4 linked regions of the Caenorhabditis elegans genome follow. The protein of the gene in region 1 interacts with the protein of each later gene in a pairwise test. Each region holds a gene or a part of one and is shown in the gene's direction. Other genes may lie near its edges. The genes, in order: brp-1, Y57G11C.22, scrm-7 and vbh-1.

Region 1 (6,854 bases):
GAATACTGTAATTCTGATCGGAGAATATTTAAAATTGTGGCAACCACATTAAAAACCGATAATAACTTATAATAGGACAAAAATAATTTGGAATATACCGTATTTCCTCTTTTAGTTTTGCACCCCTTTGCTCAACTTTGACAGCTCATATCTCATTTTGTTTTGAACATATAAATAATTAACAAACTACAAACTATAGAAAAACATCTCACAAAAATTTTATCAGTTGACAACTTTTCTATGGAACAAAGAACTACTGAGATATGAGCTGTCAAAGTTGAGCAAGCGGGTGCAAAACTAATAGAGGAAATACGGTATGTATCGTAAACTTCTGTATATACATACTTCCCTGTTAGTGTTGCATGTATCAGGGTTGGGCGGTAAATAATTTTTCCGCCAAATTGGCGAATTGCCGGAATTGAAATTTTCAGCAAGTCGGTAAACCGGCAAATTGCCGATTTGCCGCATTTTCCAGAAAAACGGCAATTGTCGGACAGATTGTGGTTTTGCATTTTTTTTTTGTTCGAAATTTCGTGTTTCACTATCAGTCTCATAAAAAAGCCCTCTAAAAACTTCCGGCAAATCGGAAATTTGCCGAAAATCGAAAATTCCGGAATATCAGCAAACCGGCAGTTTGCCGCCCACCAATACTAGTTCTAAATGAATATTTTTTAGAGCAAACGGGCTTTTTCTCACCAATTTTTTCGTTTTAAGACAGTTCTCGATATGAGTTTAACTAACTAAAAATCACAAAATTTACAAAAAAAATTATTATAACTCACATTTTTTAAAAATCATGCAGAGCGCTAAAAATACCAAAAATCATACTAAAACATTTCAAAAAAATGTAGACATTTTTTCGAAGAATCTGCAGCATGTATGAATATTTCAAAAATAATTAAAGCATAAAACTGGAATCAGAACTTTTTTTTTAACTCAAAATGAAAAATGTTCCGAAATTATATTAATAGCTTTACTATGATATTTGTTCATTTTAGGCCGTACTCCACCTTGTATGCAGGCACATTAATATTTATAATAAGAGAAAAATAAACCCTCCGCATTTGAATTAACACATCCTACCTATTTTTACCTGAACCATCAAACTTTGTATATTATACTCTGCCCTTAAACCCTTGCTGCAAAAAATGGAAAAGAAATCAAAAATCAAAGTATCCTTTATCATTTTAAAATTTTTCACAGAAATCTTTATCATCATCTGATCGAGATTTTCTGGTCAAAAACAAAAACGAATGACGTCATTCCTCTCTCAAGTGTACAGTAACCAAGTGGCCGGCTATTTTAAAAACTCGTTTTGTGTGTTTCTTCAAAACTTGGTGTCACTTCCTATCAAAACATCGGGAGATCATTTTTTGTTCATTTTCCTACACCGCGCGGAAGAGTCGTGAATGCCAACCTGTCAAAAATGTTTAATGCTCCGCGAGAGAAAGTGAGCCGCTTCTCTAATTCTCCTATTGTGCGCATTGATCTCTTCTCTTTTTTTTGTTTTTGTCTTTTACTCGAATATCTAATCAAGAATCATTTACAGATGACCAAACTAGGCGCACAGCCCGGCGTTCACGGGAGTGAGGACGTTGAGAAGGAGTCTATCAAGATCGATCCAAAAGTGAGTTTCTATTAAAAATATTCAAATTTTCTGAGAACTGTTTTTAGTGCGAAGTTCAAATTTTCTCATAAAAAAATTTCAGCTGGAAATTCGAATTTTTTTTAAGAGATCACGTTTTGGCGCGAATTACAAATTTTATGAGTAACAAGTCGTAGTGTCAGAGTGTCCCATTTCGGCTTGATCTACATAGATCTACAAAAAATGCGGGATTTCAGACGCAGGCTTCTCAGCTGATTTCGCATGGTTAAGAACATGGCTGACGTCATGTTTTTTGGGCAAAAAAGTTCCTGCATTTTTTGTAGATCAAACCGTGATGGGGCAGCCCGGCACCACGTGTAAAAACAGTTTGCCTCGAAATTCAAAATTTTTCACAAAAAAATTTTAGCTGGAAAATCAAATTTTCTGAGAAAACGTATATTGGCGCGAAGTTCAAATTTTATTAGAAATTTTTTTGGCGCTAATTTAAAGTTTTATGAGAAAATACATTTGACTCGAAATTCAAACTTTATGAGAAAACGTATTTTGCCGCGAAATTTAAATTATCCGAGAATAATTTTTGGCGCGAAATTCAAATTTTCTGAGAACATTTTTTGGCGCGAAATTCAAATTTTCTCACAAAGAATATATTCGGTAACAATAATAATAATAACGTTAGTAGAAATATCAACAAAATCTGAATTATTCCAGGTGTTCACAGTCCTCCAGCCCACAGTGATCCCAATGCCGGCTCCACCAATGAAGCCTGCTCCATCGCCAGCTTTCCAGGCGATGAGAGCATGCTTCCATTGCATGTTCTTTGCCACGTGTCTTTTGCTGGTGACACTCATCGGTTTCTACTTCCTCGCCGCTACTCCTGATCTCTTCAAGGTACAGGGTTTTTTTTTAATTTTAAGCTTTTTTAAACTTAATTAATTGATATTCCAGAAAACCGAAACATCCGTGAACAAGCCACAAATGGAGGCACTTCTAGCTCAACCAATTGATGGATCATCTGAAAAGACTATAAACTCTGCGGAAAATCCAGGAATGATGGCAATTCCCTTGGCTCGGGTAGTTGTAGTGGAGGATATTTCGAATAATGAAGGTCAAAAGAAGACAACTGTTGATGGATCAGTTGAGGAGAAGTCCTCTACCAATTTGGATCGCCCACTTCATCCAGATGAGATTGAGGTTAGTTACCAAATTATACCATATATATACATAAATATGGATTTGTATATATATATATATATAAATATATATATATATATATATATATATATATATATATATATATATATATATATATATATATATATGCATATGTAGGGCTTCCATAGACAGGCGCGGTTCCAGGGCCTGCCTGAAGGGAATGCCTACCCGCCTCAAGCCAGCTAAACTGCTTTAAAAATTTTAGGCCATTTTTTGAGCTGCCATAACTTTTTTTTCAAGAGGTTTTTAAGAAGTTTCATTAAGAAATTCGATATTTTCAGACAATTTTGAGTCTAATAAATCAATAAAAGCAATTTTTTCAGCAATACCGAATGATGGAGGCCCGCCAACAATTCCAACAAATAATGGAGGAACGTATGTACATGCAACAAATGATGGCAATGCGAATGATGAGAATGAGAAGACTTCAAGCCGCCTACTACCAACAACAACAAATGAAGATGGCCTACATGCAACAACAACAGCAACAGATGCAGGAAGAGGCCGCCCGTCAGCAATGGGCCGAGAGATCCCGCTATGAAGAGGAACAACGTCGTCAGTACGAGGCTCAACAGACCTATGCTCAACAGCAGCGTGCTCAAGCTTTCTGGCAACAACATCAGTTGGAGATGCAGGCTCAGACTCAGCAGGCTCAGGCCCAGGCCCAATGGCAACAGCAGGAGCAACAGCCACAGGAGCAGCAGAGACAGAGATTCTGGCCAAGACCAATGATGCATCAGCAACAATGGGAGAGACCAACTGTCTGGCAGGTAAGGCGATTTGTAGATTTTTAGATGATGGGCTACGAATTTTTTGGCATTTGGATTTTAGACACATTTTCCATTTTGAAAAATTTGAATTTTTGCTTTTTTTTTTCATAATTTTTTTCAAAAAACTTCGAAAATTTTTCGTCGTATTTGGATCAGGGGTGGGCGGCAATTGCAGTTCGGCAAATTTTTTTTGAGTAAATTGGCAACTGAAAATCGGCAATTTGCCGGTTAGCCGATTTGCCGGAAACTTTTGATTCCGGCAACTTGTCGGTTTTCCGGGAATTTCCAATTCCGGTAATTTGCCGATTCGCCTGAAATTTTCAATTCCGACAGTTTTCCGATTTGCCTGAAATTATCAATTCCGGCATTTTGCAGATTTGCCGGAAATTGTAAATTTTGGCAATTTGCCGATTTGCCGGAAATGTTCAATTCCGGCAATTTTTAGATTTGCCTGAAATTATGAATTCCGGCAGTTCGCCGGTTTGCCGGAAATTTTCCATTCCGGCAGTTTGTCGATTTGCCGGAAATTTTCAATTCCGGAAATTTGTCAATTTGCATGAAATTTTTAATTCCGGCAATTTGCCTGAAATTATCAATTCCGGCAGTTTGTCGATTTGCCGGAAATTTTTAATATCGGCAATTTGCTGATGTGCCGGAAGTTATCAATTCCTGCAATTTGCCGATTTGCCTGAAATTTTCAATTCCGGCAGTTTGTCGACTTGCCGGAAATTTCAGTTCCGGCACTTCGCCGGTGTGCCGGAAAATCTTAATTCCGGCAACTTGCCGATAAGCCAGAGATTGTGAATTCCGGCAATTCGCCGGCTTGCCGAAAAAAATCGTTTGCCGCCCACCTCTGTTTTTTGCTTAGTTTTCGGGATCTGAAACCGATAAAAATTTTCACTATTTTTTTTGTCAAAAAACCATCAAAAAAATTCCAGCAACCACCCCAACAATTCTTCTTCCCATCCCAACAACAACAGCAGCATCAGCAGCAACCACAACAGACCCAACAACCTGAGGACCGTTTCCCACAGGCTCCACAATTCTTCCAACCAATCCCACAACCATCAGTTCACGATAAGATCTACGAGGAACTTCAGAAGAAGTCGCAGAACATTCCAGTCAACGCACCAACTCGTCAAATCTGTTAGTTGTTTTTTTTGCAAAAAGCCCAAAAATTTCAATTAATCTTGTATCAGGGACAGCAATCACTCCAACTCCAGCTCCAGAAGCTGCATCTGGAACTGCTGACGTCACAGCTTCACCCATCAACACTGCATTCCCAGCAGTTGTCACGAGCAGCACACCAATGCCAGAGGATGCCGCTGAGGTTTCTGATACTATTCTCAGAGATATCTTCTCAGCTTTCGATGAGCAAAAGAATTCAGAGGTTTGTACATCAGGAACATGTTGGTTCGGCAAATCGGCAAATCGGCGAATCGCCGGTTTACCAATTTGCTGCCGATTTGCCGGAAATTTTGCCGATTTGCCGGAAATTTTCATTTTCGGCACTTTGCCAGTTTGCCGATTTGCAGGAAATTTTCTATTTCGGCAACTTGCCGGTTTGCCAATTTGCCGAAAATTTTCAATTCCGGCAATTTGCCAATTTGCCGGAAGTTTGAGTTCCGGCAATCTGTCGATTTTCCGATTGACCGGAAATTACAATACCGGCAGTTTGCCAATTTTCCGGAAATTTTCATTTTCGGCACTTTGCCAGTTTGCCGATTTGCAGGAAATTTTCTATTTCGGCAATTTGTCAAAAATTTAAGTTCAGGCAATTTGCGGATCTGGTTCCAGCAGTTTGCCGATTTGCCAAAAGTTTTAATTCGGGCAATTCACCTATTTGCCGAAAATTTCAATTCCGGCTCTCTGCCGGTTTGCCGAGTTGCCGGATATCAATTTGCCGGAAGTGTTTAGAAAGATTGTTTATTTATATATAGTCGGCACGGTACAATTTTGCCGACTAATATTGTAATTCTGAAGTTCTGAAATTGCCAAAAAAAAGTGCAAAACCACAATTTGCCGGAATTAAAATTTCTGGCAAATCGGCAAACCGGCAAAAATTTGAATTTCAAAAAGGCAAGTGTTTCCGTCTTATAAAAAATTTCTCTAAAAATTTCCGGCAAATTGATGTTCGGTAAACGGCAAATCAGCAATTTTCCGAAAATCAAAATTTCCGGCAAATTGACAAACCGGCAATTTGCCAAATTTGCCGAACGGCAATTTCCGGCCCACCCCTGTTTTGTGCTCACTGAGGCATAATGAGTAATATTCCAGGCGGCCAACAAAGAGCTCAACTCAGCCACCCCATCAACCACCGAAGAGCCAGAACTCGAAGGAAAGGGAGCAATTGTGATTGAGGACAGCTTCCCAAGAATCGAAGAACGCACCACAACACCTGAACCAATGGAATCTGAAGAAGATGCTGAACATACATCATCTGAAGATAATCATGAGAAGGAGTTGGATCCATTCGCAGCTGTTCTCAAATTCTTCGAGAACAATCCACCACGTGAGGCTCTCGAGGCAGCAGGGGCTGAGACAGCAGCAACCACTCAGAAACCATTGAAACCACTGATTGTTTGAGAATTTTAATTTTGAGCTGAGCTAAAAAAAAATAATTTTCGAATGTAATAATTGTTATACAATTCGTCCTCCCCCGATTATTTTCCATCATCATCATCATCCCATCTTTTACGCGTGCAGGTTTGTAAATAAAATTATTCGCTGTTGAATTTGTATTTGCAAATCAAGAAAAAAAAAGTATTTATTTCAGAACGTGTGGTGTCAGAGTGTCCCATGTTGGTTTGATCTACGTAGATCTACAAAAAATGCGGCAGAGTTCTCAACTGATTTCGCATGGTTAAGAACGTGCTGACGTCACACTTTTTTTGGCAAAAAATTGCCGCATTTTTTGTAGATCAAACCGTGGTGGGACAGCCTGGCACCACGTGTTTCCAAGGAACTTTCAAAACTTCATCACATTTGTTAAATCCGACTGTCTAACCAGCATCCCATTCTCGATTCGTTTTGCATAGACGTAACATCGATTGATTAGAATGAATTTGATTATTGATACTGAAAAATTTTTAAACAATTTTTCGCTTTAAATTACAGAATATACGCCTAGAATATATGACCAAATATGACTGTGAAAATTTTTTCAAAAATGTCCTAAACTTTTAGTGAATTTTTACATATTTCAAAATTCATAGAAACGACCGAATTAAATTTGAAACATTTGAATTCCCGCGCAAATGAGTGAC
Region 2 (4,552 bases), on another chromosome or scaffold:
ACTCCTGTGAAACATTTGTGAATTTGTAGAAAAAATAATGTCCCGTTTCAATAAGTTTTCAAAGGTATCTCTTCGAGATGAATTTTATTATTCCGCTAGGAATCAGTGGATATGTAGCCCATAATAATTCTGTCAACTTTAATTCCAATTCAGTTATTGTCAAAATATTAATTGCAGACAATTTTGTTATGCTTTCGGTTTAATACTATTTTGGTTCTTAAATCGAACAACTTTGGTTTTCCAACTTCATATAACAATTTAGAGATTTTTTTTTCTGAAAACTAAGAAAAAGTTACACATTTCCTATTTTCAAGTTATTTTTTCAGTTATTTTCACTAACTAGTTAACTGATCACAAAAAACTTTGTGGAAAATATTCAAAACCTTAGTGACAATAATGTTCTGTTTCACGAAGTCCTTAAAAGTATCTTGTAACGGTGAACTTTAGTTCAAAGTTTCTCTGTTTGCGGCAATATATAAATTTCAAGAAATTTTACTATGTTTCTAGCTCAACACATTTTCAGAGTCTATAAAAAATGAAAACATTTTATTAATTTTTTTCCTGTTTCAGTGAGTTTTTAAAAAAAATTACCTTCTGTAGTTTCTAATCGGTTCCATGCTGCAATTTTAACCTCAACTTTGGAAAACTGGTATTAGTGTAGATTTACAAAGTTCTCGTTTTTTTTAAATTTTGGTTTAAAAAACGGGAGTTTTCCTGGAATTTACAAGGAAAATTGCAGAATCTGAATTCATTGAGATTTTTTTTACACTTACGCCGAAAATGTATAAACTCTGTGAAAAGGTTGCGAATTTTTAGTGAAAATATTGTTCTGTTTCAACAAGTTTTTAAAAGCATCTCGCAAAAAATTAATGTAGTTAATGAGCGTTAAATATGTATATCGTATTCCCTTTATCAATTTGTATTCCTGCGACAAATTTCCGTCAAAGAGAAATTTGTCTAGTTGGTAGTTTGTAGGATATAGTTTGTAACTGAAAATTTTAATTGCAGTTCAGTCTTTTGCCAAATATAAATTTAGTTATGTTTCTGGTTTAATACAATCTCAGAATCTCAGTGAAAAATAGTTCATCAATTTGTTTTTTCTCTGTTTCAGCAAGGAGTTTTAAATCCAGGCATTTCTTCTGTAGTTGATAATTTTTTTGAAGATTTACGAAATTTTCGTTTTCATTAGTGGTCGCTTTTTAGACATGCAGACATTTTGAGGATTCATGCACGGCCTACAATATATTTTCTCAAGCTTCCCAAGGCCTCTCTTGTCGTCTTAAATTCTGCCACTAACCCCATTTTGAATCAAATGCACATTGAGCTCATCTTCCATGCATCTCCTCCCTTCTCCTCTCATTCTCCATTTTCAGTGTGCATGATTGTCTGCGTCTCCCGCTTCTCTACACTCTCTCGTAGTCTCTACATCTCTCCGTCTCTGTGCTCTTTTTGCTCGTGAAGCTTTTAGTACTGCTAGAAGGAGTGAAGGAGTGACAATCGATTTTAAAGCAGAAAAATTAATTATGGATGTAAGTATTTTTTTTCAATTGTTTGTGTAGTTTGAAATTGAGCTAAAAAAACTGGAATGTTTCATGTTTTTATTAAAAAAGAACAATAAAAATCATAACTATTATAGTTACCATCAGAGGTGGGCGGATATTTTTTTCTGATATTTTCTAATAATGAATTTATCAATAAGTATTGATGTAGTTATTCTGGAAGAAATGTATCCGAACAAAAGAGTAACTATTAAGAAACATTTTAATATGATAAAACCTAGAAAAATTCTACAAGTTTTCTGTATAAACGATATGCAAGTCCATTATCCGATATCCGTAATATCCGTAATATCCGATATCCGATGTTGCTCGGCTAATAAGTTTTAAGGTCTCGGTAAGGAAAACTTGTAGAATTTTTCTAGGTTTTATCATATTAAAATGTTGCTTAATAGTTACTCTTTGGTTTGGATACATTTCTTCCAGAATAACTACATCAATACTTATTGATAAATTCATTATTAGAAAATATCCGAAAAAATATCCGCCCACCTCTGGTTACCATAATCGTGAAAAAACTTACTGTTTCACTTTCTAACAAATAATTTGTAGGTTTTCAAATTAATTATTGTTTTTTAACCATATTTTACAGTTCCAAATCGAAGAAGACCGGCTCGGAATGAGAATTCAATCGGAGACAATTGAGTTGACTAAAGATGAAAAAGGTGTCGTCGGAATTTCAATTGGTTTGTTCATTTTTTTCTCTGATGCTTGTATATAAATGGAAACCAACTCAAAATAATTTTTTAATAATAACTCGATAATGTTTAAGTGAATAGTTTGGTTTTTGAAACACTTCATTTAAAAACTACTAGAAACAGAAAAAAATGAAAAAAAAATGTTTTTCAAACAATTTGAAATATTACGCTAGTAGTGGTAGAGTGTACAATTTACCATTCCTTGGTTTTTTTTTACCGTCTGACCAAGAATAGTGTGTGAAACGAGAGATTTAGAGAAAGACGAGAGAGTGAGAGATTTGGTTATAGTAAGAAAGAATCGATTTTTAAATAGTGTGCGTTTTTGAGAGATTTAGAGAAAGAGACTGGTAAGACATTTTTGATGTTCTTGGTTCATTCAACCAGGGGACGGGTTCGAACCCAGGACACTATTCGTCTAAAACAGATGCCATACCAATACACTATAGACGTAGTCGCAAACCCAGTAGCATTTGACTCTTTTCTATTTCGAAACATCTGCCGTTTAGGAGACGTCTTTTTCCCAAACGCGATTTGAATGAATGCAAGCGTTACCGAGATTGATGAAGGAAGGAGGCCCCCCTCCCCGCGCCCCTGGGGGTTTCAAGAGTAAAAGTTGATGAACAAGTTTTTTCAATTTACCTGTGCTTTTGAAAAATGATGCATTCAAAGCTATTTGAAGTTTTTCGATAAAGGGTTCTCCACCCGTTATCGAAAACTTTAAAGAGCATTCCCTACAAAAAACATGTTTTACATTTTTTATTATTTATTCAATTACAGATAAGGATAAGTATTAGTGTTACATGCATTACTAACAATTCAAACATTATTATACAATCAATCAAATTTTATAATTTCCAATATTCTTTCGGCATTTCTTACAAACGTCAATTTTCAAAGTTGACCCATCATATTGTGCACCGTCCTGACAATCTGAACAAAACAGGATAGCGGCAAGTGGTTCCATTTTTCGTAAAGCAAACTGGGGTTCCGTTGTCTTGGCAGCCGTGTGTGTCGTTTTAAAAGTTTTCACATTTTTCTTTCCCTTCTTCTCCGACATAGGAATATCAGAAACATTTGATGGCAAAAACTCTGGTTCCTGAGACGAGTTTTGAAGAGTTTCAAAATTCCAAAAGACGTTCGCAGGTGAAGGATCAGGATAAGAAAAGTTTGAGAATGAGGACATTATCAAAAAAAGTCACTACGTACAACAAAAAATTGAGCACAAATGAAGATTGAATTCAGAAAAGTGGGCGGCTCTTGAAATTGGCATGGACAAATCATAAAGTTAATACTCCTGATGCATCAATCCAAGAGTCAAATTCGGCACCATATCCGTCCCAACGAACGAGGTGCTGTTTCTTTCCGCGTACTGTACGAGTGGCTAAAATCTTTTCAATTCGATACTGAGCGTCTGGTTTATATGTGCATTTAGTCAGTTCTCGAGTGTAGAATATTCCGGCAATTTTTTCTCCATTAGTGTCTACTATATTGTAGGTAACTGGTTTCCTTGCAAACACTTTGGAAATTACATAAACTTCTGTAGTCCATCCTTGTTCGTAGCCCTTGTCAAATTGTCCTCGTTTTGCAGCGATTCTGACGTGATCTCCTACTCTGAATTTGATTTTAACGCTGTCTACAGGCATCGGAGTTGAAAAATCTCCCCGCTCAACGTCTACTGGTTTTTTACCAATTCCACGATTAACGCTATTGTTGATACCATTCACAACTTGTTGTAAAACGTCCACATAACGTCGGTTGTACTTTTGAGTCATGTACTTTGCCAATCGAGTTTTCAGAGTCCTGTTTGCCCTCTCCACAATTGCACACTTTATTTCGCTTTTGGGTGAAAATAGATTCACAAAATTCTTGGCCAACAACTCTTTGACATGCGAGTTGTAAAATTCCTTTCCATCATCACTGTAAATTGTCATTGGTGTGACACCAATTTCTTTAAAAATGTCTTGTAGAGCTAGAGCCACTTCTTGTCCTTTTTTAGACTTTAACGTTTTTACAAAAAGCCGTCGAGAGTAAATATCTATACAGACTAGTAGAAAGGTTACTCCGTCGTTTTCCTTCTTGTACCGGGACATATCTGCGAGATCAATTTGAAGAGATGCATAAAGACCAGGTGAGACTGTTTTCCGACGCGGGAATCGCGATTGATTCGGGCGGTGAAGCGTAAAAGATTCCAAATCTTCGAGAACCTTTTCGACTTGTTCATACTTTAACGACTTGTATTTTGGCTTCAAATATTTGTAAACGTTTTTTACAGATGAATAGGCGCAAGGTAGTTTTTCG
Region 3 (3,793 bases), on another chromosome or scaffold:
GAGAAATGTTGAATAAGAACACATTCTGATTGGAGAGGAGCAAATTAGACTAAATGATTATCCCGGGTGGATAGATTGCTTATATACCAATTCCAGACAAACCACGCCTTCTCTGGAAATGTCATCATATTCCAATTGTCATCCTGCACATCTTCACCTTGTTATTGGAATTACAAATGGCTGGAGATGAATGTTCCAGCTGTAACTCCAATTGCAGATATCCCAGAAAAATCGGGTATCTTGGAAATGTTGAAGATTGGAATCAATTATTGAAAAATCTTTTCAAACTCAGATTTCTAAAAATTGGTCTCAATACTGTAAAAAGTTGTTTTAAAATTAAGTAATTTCAAAACAAAATCTCCAAGAAAAAGCTTTTATTTCACATAGTAGTTCTCTTTAAAACGCTGGCATTGACTGGCAGCCTGGAGCACCGGGAATTCCAACTGGAAGCGATCTTGGGTTGGCTGCTGAAAGAATATTCATTGAGATCTTTTCCTCATTAAAATAACTGACTATCGGGAACCGAATTAGCAGCTGGTGTTCCTGGGTTTGTGTACGACGGGGCTGGAGAATTGGCAGCTAGAGAAGTCGGCTTGACACTGGTGTTAGGGGCATTCGGAACGCTTTTAGCGGTTTTACTCCTGAAAATCAGAAATAGTTAGGAACAAAACTTTGACCGGGATTTGTAACTTGCATCAGGCGAAACTCACAATGCACTTTTAGCTGTAACGGGTGGTCCGTTTGTCTCAGCCGCCTGAAAAAGAACTCTGGTAACCTGAACATCATTTCAACTCACTCCAGATCTTTGCGTTGAGTTCTCGCCCTCATCCCTCCCTCGGGCTTCTGGTTTCTTCCCTTTCTCAGATTTTTTGGATTTCTTCGACTTGCTCGATTTTTTCGAAATTTTCATGGAAGAATCCGCTGACTTCTTCTTTTTGTTCTTCTTGTTTGACTTTTTCGATGAATCTTTGCTCCTTTTCTTCTTCTCTTCTTTGTCCAACGCAGTTCGAGTACTATCCGGTATTGCATCCGAGATCGGCGCCTAAAAATCAGAAATATAGAGATTACAAGATATTACAGATTAATCAGTGTTCGGTTTTCAAAGTGTTCTGGTACTAGAAATTCAACATCCGCCTGCCTGCCCGGCATCATGCCTATTCCGTGCCTACTCATTGATTTTTGCAGCTTCCCCCTCACATACCGCTCTCATGGAATTTGTCATCTCCCGAACATGACAACTGTTCTTCTGACGGGGTGGTTTGCAAAAGCAAATGATGAATATGGTGCTCTGTAATTTATAGTTTGTAGTGTCAGTGCAATTTGTAGTCATTGTAGCTCACCGTTATCATTATGAAAGAGTTGAAGATAAAGAATGTATCCATACAAACCGCCATCACATGATTCGTTTAATAAACGGAATAAATTGAGAAATAATCGAATATGAGTATGTGGATTCGAGTATTGATTGAATCGAAAAGTGAATAGAATATTTGATTTTTTTTCTCTCACGGGAATTAATTTTTTTTCTCATCGTGTTTTATTGAAAGTTTATTCATTGATTTTTGGGTACGTTTATTTGAATACTATTTCAATTTTTAAGCTTTGAAAACAGCAATACTAAGCCTGAAATTCCGAAAAGTTCACGTTTCATTAATGAAAATATCAAAAACTTTTGGGGGGGGGGGGGGGCAGAAATCGGAAAAGTACCGATTTTTGTTCATTACTAGAGTTCATTCGTGACGAAGAAGGTGCATTTACTCATGACAATGGAAACAAAACAGGATGACGTGGAAGCCGATGGTTCTGAAGTTCGAGCACAAGCTGGAAGAGGTGGACACATGCCACAAGTTCGATCGACACCAATCGTTCTTCCAAATCAAGTGGCTTCTATGCCAGTTAGAATGACAGTGAGTTACACAGAGAAACATCATATGTCTTTGCCTTGGGACTTATTTGGTAGGCAAGTGTCTCATGTGTTTGTGCATGCCTGTCGTTTGTCTATCGGTAGGCTGAAGTTAGGTGAAAGTCGCTTATAAAGGCTACCTTCTAGGCGACACCGACTGTGAGTGTGTAAAGTGTGGCAGGGTTCAATTACCGATTTTTTAACAAATTAATTAAATGAGAAAATAAAAAAAAATCGTAAGTTCATCGTTACACCGGAGTTCATGCAAAAATGCTGTATTTCAGGGTTTCAACAACCTTCCGGCTCACAATGTTCTGGATATGATTTCTCGGACCAACTCTATGATGGTTGTTCAAGCACTAGAACCTCTGGAAATTGCAACAGGAATCGAGACGCCAAATCAATATGTTGTTCATGATATGTACTGTCGTCCGATTATGAATTGTATGGAAAGATCCAATGGATTTGCTCGTCAAATGCAAGGATCTCATCGAAGCTTTGCAATGATGTGTACAGATTTATTTGGTGCACATGTTATGCAATGTCACAGAGATCAGCCTTGGGGATCATTCACGGATCACTTGACTACACAGTTTCTGGGACAGAATATTGGAATTATGTCGAGAACTCATGGGGATGTCAATGTGAGTTTATGAGAAATCAAGTCTTTTGGCAAAACTTGGTTACCTTCTGGGAAACATTTTCACTTTCTTGGCTGAAACATTCGTGAATATATTTTTTTCAGTTCCATCTTCTCGGCGCGGGAAGCAATCAATCTCTTCTGATCCGTTCTCCGTTGTTTGCTGCAAGTGGTGGAACCAGAAGCTTCCCAGTTATGACCTACAATGGAATGAGAGTTGGTGAAATTGTTCGCCTTTATCCTGGATATATGCAAGAAATGTACTCTGATGCAGATACTTATATTGTGCATTGTAAGTAGCTTCTTTAAACTAATTTAATTCTCAATTTTACAGTCCCAATGGATCTTCCACCAATCTTGAAGCTTTTGCTCATCTCGTCTGTATTCCTTATCGATTTCACATTCTTTGAAAATAATGGACAACAAAATAACATGTATCGTGGATATGGAGGATCACATTATGTTAGACAACGTTCTTACCATAGTGGATTCTCTTCTGGATATTTCCCTGGATTCTATTGATTTTTTGGGTATTAGTGTGATGTCAAATGGATTCTTTCAAATTCTGCATTTTATTTATTAAAAAAGCCTTCGTTTCAAATATTCTTTACCTTTCAAAGTCTCGTTCAGAAATTGATTTAAAAGTTTCCACAGATTTCATTTTCAAAGATGCTATATCTTTGATTGAGCTGTTTGTAAACCGTATTCAACTTTCCTATAAAACGTTTCACCATGATTTTCGTCCATCGCCTTTATTATAACGGTGACTAAATATTCATTATTTGTGTTGAATGTAAAATGGTGAGTCTTCAAGGATTACTGTAATTTCTAACGTTTTGCTGTTGCGTCGATTTTTTCAAATAGCTTGTCAAGTTTCGAAAGAATCATGGAAAGTGAAAAATCAATTTGAAAAGTTAGTAAATTACAGTAATCCTCAAAGGCTCCCACCATTTTGGATTTAACACAAATGTTCGTTGCGATGCATCGTATTGTACCTTTTGAGCAACATTTCCCTTCTGGTTAATATTGCGAAATCCTCATAAAATCAAGAAAAATCTAAAAAAAGCGAAAAACTCTGCTTACAATTCAGATCGCGGCGAGTCCCGTTCAATATCATTCGTGCGCCTTCGAGCACGAGTTCCAGGAGAATTCCAAACTTCGAAGAGACATAATTTTTGTATTTTGAAGACTGCATATTTTAAAATGTTAATACCTGACTATGACTAATTTCACCTTTTAATTCTAGAATG
Region 4 (6,399 bases), on another chromosome or scaffold:
GAATTCAAAGTTTAATTTTTTCCGGCAAATCGGCATACTTGAAAAAATAGAAAATTTCCGGCAAATCGGCAATTCGCAAGAATTTAAAATTTTATTTTTTTCCGGCAAACCGGCAATTTGCCGGAATTAAACATTTAATTTCGAAATCATGTCATTCAAAATAATTCAAATTTTTTGTTGCGAAATTGAAAAGATATGCTATTTAACAGTTATATTTGGTATATTTCGACTAATTTCCGTCTAAAAAAACAAAAAAAAATCCACAAAATACACACCAAAAACGTCTGGAAGCTGTTTTAAATCATTTTTCGGCAAAACCAAATGCATTAGATTACTGCAAGATCTAATCGAAGACGAAAGATTGTGAAGAGAGCATCCAGTGAGAGAAAGGAGATTCAATTGGGACATCTGAAAATAAATTTTGGGTTTTGATGGGAATTTAGTATTATAAAATTTACAAAAAAAAAATTTGTTTGAAATTCCGAGAAAAAAATCGTTTTTTTGCGGAAATTCACGGATTTTCCAAAAATTAAAATTCCCTTACACTCTCGAAAACCCGTTTCTGGGAAAGATTGGCCGCTTCGGTGACCGAATCGATTCGAACATTTTTGATGACAATTTCGAAGCGATTATTCTCGATCGCCTCTATTACCTCCGGTTGCTCTTCGAACATTATTCTGAATTTTAATTTTTTCGGTGAAAAAGTGGGAAAAAAATTAGATAAAGATATAAATAATTGAATCGAACCACAAAATTCGTTATAAATATTGAAAATGATTCAAAGTTTAATATATAAAGAAACAAAAATTCTAGGATTCTAGCGAAACAAAAACAAAAAAAATAATAAAAATTCATTGAGATTTCTTCGGAGTATCCAGCTTTTCCTGAAGATTCTTCTGGTGATTCCGAAGGGCGTCAGCTAGAAGAACATCAAGAATTGATTCAGATTGATCTACGCGGTCTGCTTGTATTTGTGGAAATGGATTTCCGTCGATTTCCAGAACTCCGATATCGTATCGCTTCCAGACTTCTCGCTTATTCTGGATAAATTGTTGAAGACGTTGTGGTGGAAGTCGGAATAGTGATGTGAATGGAGAATCGCGGTCTTGGAATCGTGGAACAATTACCTGGGAAAAAAATGATTTTTTTTTGGCGAAAAATCTTTTTAAATCAATTTACTTCATGCATTTTCGTAATTAAATCCTTCTCAGGCAGCCACCATTCCATCATTTCGGCTGTATACTCGTCAAGTGGTCCTCTTTCGACACCCAATTGAATTAGCTGAATTTTATTTTTTTAAATTTTAATTTTCTCACTCATTTTCAAACAAAAAACCCCTCACCCTCTCCAAATATGGCCTGGCCTCGACGGCGCGGTTCCATTTCAGCTCGGCGCGTTCCTCACGGACAGTTCGGGTGACGATGCGACGGAGCACTTCGAGACGAGCACGACGGCTTGGCTCAATTCCTCCGGTTTTCAGCTTTTGTGGTGCGTGACCAATTGTGACGCCGATTCTTGGCAGTGACACTGCCACTCGGTGAGCTGACATTGCCTGGAAATCTTTTTTTTATTAATTTTGAGTCGGAAATTCAAAAAATTGAATAAAATCCCATATATTTCAATAGAAATTCTAATAAAAATTAAATTTAATTCTATTTCGCGAAATTTCGGAGCGTTTTTTGCGTTGAAACACGCTTCCTCACACACGCACTTTAAAGGCGCACCGATTTACACGGTCGGCGGGTCTCGATGGGAAAACAAACGTCTCTTCATCATTGCGTGCTGAATTCACTTCTCTCATTTCCGCTTCTTCTCTACGGTTTTTCGTGTCGATTTTCTCCATTGTCATCGTTTTTCGCATAATTTTCGAGTTAAATTATGCGAAAAATGATAATTCGTCGTTTATTAATGATAAATACTCATTTTCTCCGTCTTAAAACTTCATTTGTTTCGCAACAAGCCAATAAAATGAATTTCAGATACATATTCTGTAATCTCGACGTCAATTGGGTACAAAATCGGTTTAGATTCGCCGATTTTTCTTTTTCGAATTCCGGGTTTCCGTTTGATATAGTCTTACAATGAACACACAATATTATGCGAATCACAACGGTCAACAACAGCCGCCACAACAACAACAGGGACAAGGGTATGATTTCGAAACGGATTTCAAGATTTCAACCTCATTTTTTCAGCTGGTCATCCTCGTATTCTCAACAGAGCAATAATATGCCTGCAGGAGGCGTATTTTACAACGGATTCGCCAACGGAACTCCGTCAAACAACGGGTATGCAATTCAACAACCTATGGTCCCAGGGATGGGGCAGATGATGGGTGCTCCTCATGCTGGATTTGTTCCTTCTCCTTACTTTCAAGGGCAGCCACAACAGCAGCAGCATTTCAAAATGGGCTACTCAGAAAACTTTGAAAACTTCGATGAGAATGGGTGAGAACAGGTGTATAGTGTGCTGGTGATTGTGTTTGCCTCTAACCATATGCTTGTTCTTCATTTCCTTTGTTGCTTTTTGTTAACCTGAAATGAGGCTTCTCTTTTATCAAATCTTGAAATTGCAGATCGTCTGGGTACAACAACTTCGCCGACAGCGGAAACGGTTTCAACAACAAGTATGTTTAAATCTGAATTACAATTTTTATTAGTAGACGTTACAGTGGAGCCGAGAGTAATCAATGGGGAGGAGCACCTGCCGAATATTCCGAAAGGTGAGATTAAAATGTTCTGATTATTAAACGCGATATGGTATTTCAGCAATTTGTTCCACCGTACCGACAGTGGCATCAACTTTGACAAGTACGAAAATATTCCCGTAGAAGTCAGCGGAGACTCCGTTCCAGCAGCCATCGAGCATTTCAATGAAGCTGGTTTTGGGCCGGCTGTGATGGAGAACGTGAATCGCAGCGGATACTCCAAGCCGACTCCTGTCCAGAAACACTCGATCCCAACTCTTTTGGCTAACCGCGATCTGATGTCTTGCGCTCAAACCGGATCTGGAAAAACTGCCGCTTTCCTGCTCCCAATTATTCAGCATATTTTGGCTGGTGGTCCAGATATGGTCAAGCCGGTAAGTAGGGCAAACCTGCGATCCATCAAAATTCGAAAAATTTATACAAAAAACTATTTTAATTGCAGCCAGCGTTCACAAACGGTCGTCGCACTTACTATCCATGTGCTCTGGTTCTCTCGCCGACTCGTGAACTTGCCATTCAAATCCACAAGGAAGCTACAAAGTTCAGCTACAAAAGCAACATCCAGACGGCTATTCTTTACGGAGGACGTGAAAACTATCGTGATCAAGTGAATCGTCTTCGCGCTGGAACGCATATCCTCATTGCTACCCCAGGTCGTTTGATTGACATTATTGAGCAAGGATTCATTGGACTCGCCGGATGTCGTTACCTGGTTCTCGACGAAGCTGATCGTATGCTTGACATGGGATTTGAGCCGCAAATCAGAAAGATCGTTGGCCAAGGAATGCCACCAAAGACTGCTCGTACCACAGCTATGTTCAGTGCAACCTTCCCGAAGGAGATTCAAGTTCTCGCTAAGGACTTCCTCAAGGATAACTATATCTTTTTGGCAGTTGGTCGTGTTGGATCAACGTCTGAAAATATTGAACAACGTCTGCTTTGGGTCAACGAGATGGAAAAGAGAAGCAATCTGATGGAAATTCTGATGAACGAGCATTCTGAAAATCTGGTTCTCGTATTCGTTGAGACAAAGAGAGGAGCCAACGAGTTGGCGTATTTCCTCAATCGTCAGCAGATCCGCTCTGTTTCAATTCACGGAGATCTCAAACAAATTGAACGTGAGAGAAATCTCGAGTTGTTCCGCTCTGGACAGTGCCCAATTCTTGTCGCAACTGCTGTTGCCGCTCGTGGATTGGATATTCCAAATGTGCGCCACGTCATCAATTATGATCTTCCTGGAGATTCTGACGAATATGTTCACCGTATCGGTAGAACCGGAAGATGCGGAAACCTTGGAATTGCCACCAGTTTCTTCAATGACAAGAATCGAGGAATCGGTCGTGATTTGAAGAATCTGATTGTCGAATCCAACCAAGAAGTCCCAGAATGGCTTCATCAAGTTGCTGCAGAAGGACGCATTGGAGGTGGACAACGTGGTGGAAACCGTCGCTTCGGAGCAACCGACTATCGTGTTGGTCGTGGTGGTGGTGGATCGTTCGGAGGGTAAGATCAAATGAGCAGTTGAAAATTAATATTGCTAATAGTTTCAGAAACTTCTCAAATTACAATTCCGGTGGAGCCACTGGTGGTTTCGGAAGTGGACCCGCCTACGGTGGTTCGTTCGGAGGAGGAGCACCACGTCGCCCGTTCACGAATGGAGGATTCGGAGCTCATAGCTCTCTGTCGTCTACCTCTAATAGTGGTGGCGGTGGCGGCTTCAGTGGCCCAAGAAGAGGTTTGTGGAGAAAATAAAGAAAATAATGCAAAATTAATCAATTCCTTGATTTCAGGTGGCTTCAACAGTGGAATGAACCGTCAGGGTGGTGGCGGTGGAGGTTTTTACTCAAACCCAGGCCAGGCTCCAATTGATCATTGGCAAGCTCCACAAGCTTAAACATTATTCGCAACAAACGGAAATCCGGAATTCCACATTAAAGTCTCGCACCATACTCCTTTTTTTATAATTTAGTTGTCTTCCTTTTTTCCTTTACTCGTTCCATCCATATTAAAATAATCATTTTTTCCTCCTTCTCTTTTTTATTCTGTCTCCTTCTTTAAAGCGTGGCTTATTCCTCTCTTTTATTTCATATTATTCTCTCTGTAATTGTGTTTTAATCATTCAATTTTTTTTATCTCAGAGCTTTAAGTGACGAATATTTTAATGGATTCTATGCGTGATCTAGGGTTTTAACATTGAATTTTATTGTATCCTCCCATTTCCCCCAAAAATGTTGTTGTTGCCTGGCAATTTGTACCATTGTTTTGTTTCTCTTGGTGTTGTTTTCTTGCATCAACAATACCCCGAGAGAATCAATGCAGTTTTATCTCGTAGTTTTGTAGTTTTTCTTATGGCCGCTGGATGGCATCCGATGCACTACCGCGTCGGGGACTCAGCACGGTTTTTCTCTATTATCGGTTGTTTGTAAGCTTTGTTGAAACCCGTTTACATAGTGCTGCCCGTTGTTGATTCGTGATATTGTGTGTATTTTTAATTAATTTTTACTTGTTCCCCAATCTGATCCCAACCATTCGTCTTGCAATTATTCAATTCTTAACTTGGTATAGCTGCGGGTGTCTAATTATATTTTCATAATTGTTCGCCAGTATGATCGTCAGTTTATCATTAAATAATTGCGAGTTAGGTATAAAAAGCTTGGTTGCTCTCTTATGATAATGATCTCCCCCCACCTATCCCCAAATCTCTATCATTTTTCCCTCCAACTGATGTTTTTTTTGAGCCAAGTAATATTCATTGTTAGTTGTTTTTTCTCCCTCTAAACAGTATACACGAAAATCATAGAACCAACCATTTCATAATACTCAAGTTGCACTATCATATGCGTCTCGTCAATAGCTAATTCCAAACATTTTCTAGGCCGGTCTAAGCCGTTGAACGTGCAGTCCGTTTCCACGCTTTCTCTTCAATTTCTATTTGCCAATTTCTCCCCAACCAACTGCATTCTTGTCCAATATGCACAATTTTTCTTTTTTATTTTCATCGTCCCTCTCCCATCATTTTTCTCTTTCCCTCGTCACGCACTTATCTCTGTCACTATGAGATTCTTATCTTCTTTTTCCATCTTGAATGTTCACTTTCAGCTCTTTGAGAATAATCTTAAAAGCCCTTGTGGCCTGACAAATAGTTGAATAAACTTGGTATCTGGTACTTGAAAACATTTATACGCGGGCATGCTGATGCTCTCGTTGCATATAAGAAATGACCGCAAGAAAATTATCTATCTTCACAACATGTCAAATGCTACGTGGTCGTTAATAGTCTAGTCCTAGGCCAAAAAATTAATGTATTAAATATTGCCTCATGTCAGTCAAATTTTCATTTCTATTTGAAAATTTGTAATTATGATTCCAGCAACTTGTAGGCTAAATTCCCGGGAGTTTATGTACCTTCGTTTCCGATGTCATTCAACTTCGAAAAAAAAAACAATCAGCAGTCTTCACCCTCTCCATTGTTGTCGAAATCCTGAATTAAAAACAATTATCATCAATGAAAATTGATAATTCTTGCCTTTCAAATAGAAAAATGCCGGTCTTCTCCTTAAAAATCTGCAAAAGAGGGGGGAAAAATGAGTAAATATGCTTTTGTGGGAGACTCATCATCAAATGAAACCAATATTGCTCGTTTTTTCAATTAAAATTATATATTTAATGATAAAATAATAAAATAAAGCATA

Evidence for each region.
Region 2: the proteins of brp-1 (region 1) and Y57G11C.22 interact in a two-hybrid assay, tested with the Caenorhabditis elegans proteins (one large-scale study listed by BioGRID).
Region 3: the proteins of brp-1 (region 1) and scrm-7 interact in a two-hybrid assay, tested with the Caenorhabditis elegans proteins (one large-scale study listed by BioGRID).
Region 4: the proteins of brp-1 (region 1) and vbh-1 interact in a two-hybrid assay, tested with the Caenorhabditis elegans proteins (one large-scale study listed by BioGRID).

Annotation. Positions count from the first base shown.
Region 1 is NC_003281.10:12,019,003-12,025,856, forward strand, and holds brp-1 (uncharacterized protein), read left to right. Parts: upstream 1-1,549; coding exon 1,550-1,627; intron 1,628-2,314; coding exon 2,315-2,494; intron 2,495-2,551; coding exon 2,552-2,797; intron 2,798-3,141; coding exon 3,142-3,588; intron 3,589-4,526; coding exon 4,527-4,734; intron 4,735-4,787; coding exon 4,788-4,978; intron 4,979-5,865; coding exon 5,866-6,174; 3' UTR 6,175-6,319; downstream 6,320-6,854. Other genes in the region: Y79H2A.12 (Serpentine Receptor, class BC (Class B-like)), read right to left, coding at 6,557-6,666.
Region 2 is NC_003282.8:14,835,688-14,840,239, forward strand, and holds the start of Y57G11C.22 (PRKCA-binding protein), read left to right. Parts: upstream 1-1,523; coding exon 1,524-1,529; intron 1,530-1,630; exon of another isoform or gene 1,631-1,652; intron 1,653-2,125; exon of another isoform or gene 2,126-2,146; intron 2,147-2,148; coding exon 2,149-2,242; intron 2,243-2,310; exon of another isoform or gene 2,311-2,332; intron 2,333-4,552.
Region 3 is NC_003283.11:14,777,682-14,781,474, reverse strand, and holds scrm-7 (Phospholipid scramblase), read left to right. Parts: upstream 1-1,733; 5' UTR 1,734-1,760; coding exon 1,761-1,907; coding exon of another isoform or gene 1,908-2,004; intron 2,005-2,050; coding exon of another isoform or gene 2,051-2,106; exon of another isoform or gene 2,107-2,139; intron 2,140-2,187; coding exon 2,188-2,547; intron 2,548-2,648; coding exon 2,649-2,835; intron 2,836-2,877; coding exon 2,878-3,065; 3' UTR 3,066-3,272; downstream 3,273-3,793. Other genes in the region: Y50E8A.10 (uncharacterized protein), read right to left, coding at 397-467, 514-641, 711-754, 797-1,042, 1,202-1,288, 1,341-1,394.
Region 4 is NC_003279.8:3,157,966-3,164,364, reverse strand, and holds vbh-1 (RNA helicase), read left to right. Parts: upstream 1-1,973; 5' UTR 1,974-2,081; coding exon of another isoform or gene 2,082-2,149; intron 2,150-2,195; coding exon of another isoform or gene 2,196-2,229; coding exon 2,230-2,447; intron 2,448-2,575; coding exon 2,576-2,626; intron 2,627-2,662; coding exon of another isoform or gene 2,663-2,671; coding exon 2,672-2,722; intron 2,723-2,768; coding exon 2,769-3,081; intron 3,082-3,149; coding exon 3,150-4,210; intron 4,211-4,257; coding exon 4,258-4,442; intron 4,443-4,497; coding exon 4,498-4,601; 3' UTR 4,602-5,873; downstream 5,874-6,399. Other genes in the region: Y54E10A.6 (B3/B4 tRNA-binding domain-containing protein), read right to left, coding at 276-408, 545-673; mrpl-17 (Large ribosomal subunit protein bL17m), read right to left, coding at 852-1,127, 1,180-1,281, 1,343-1,549.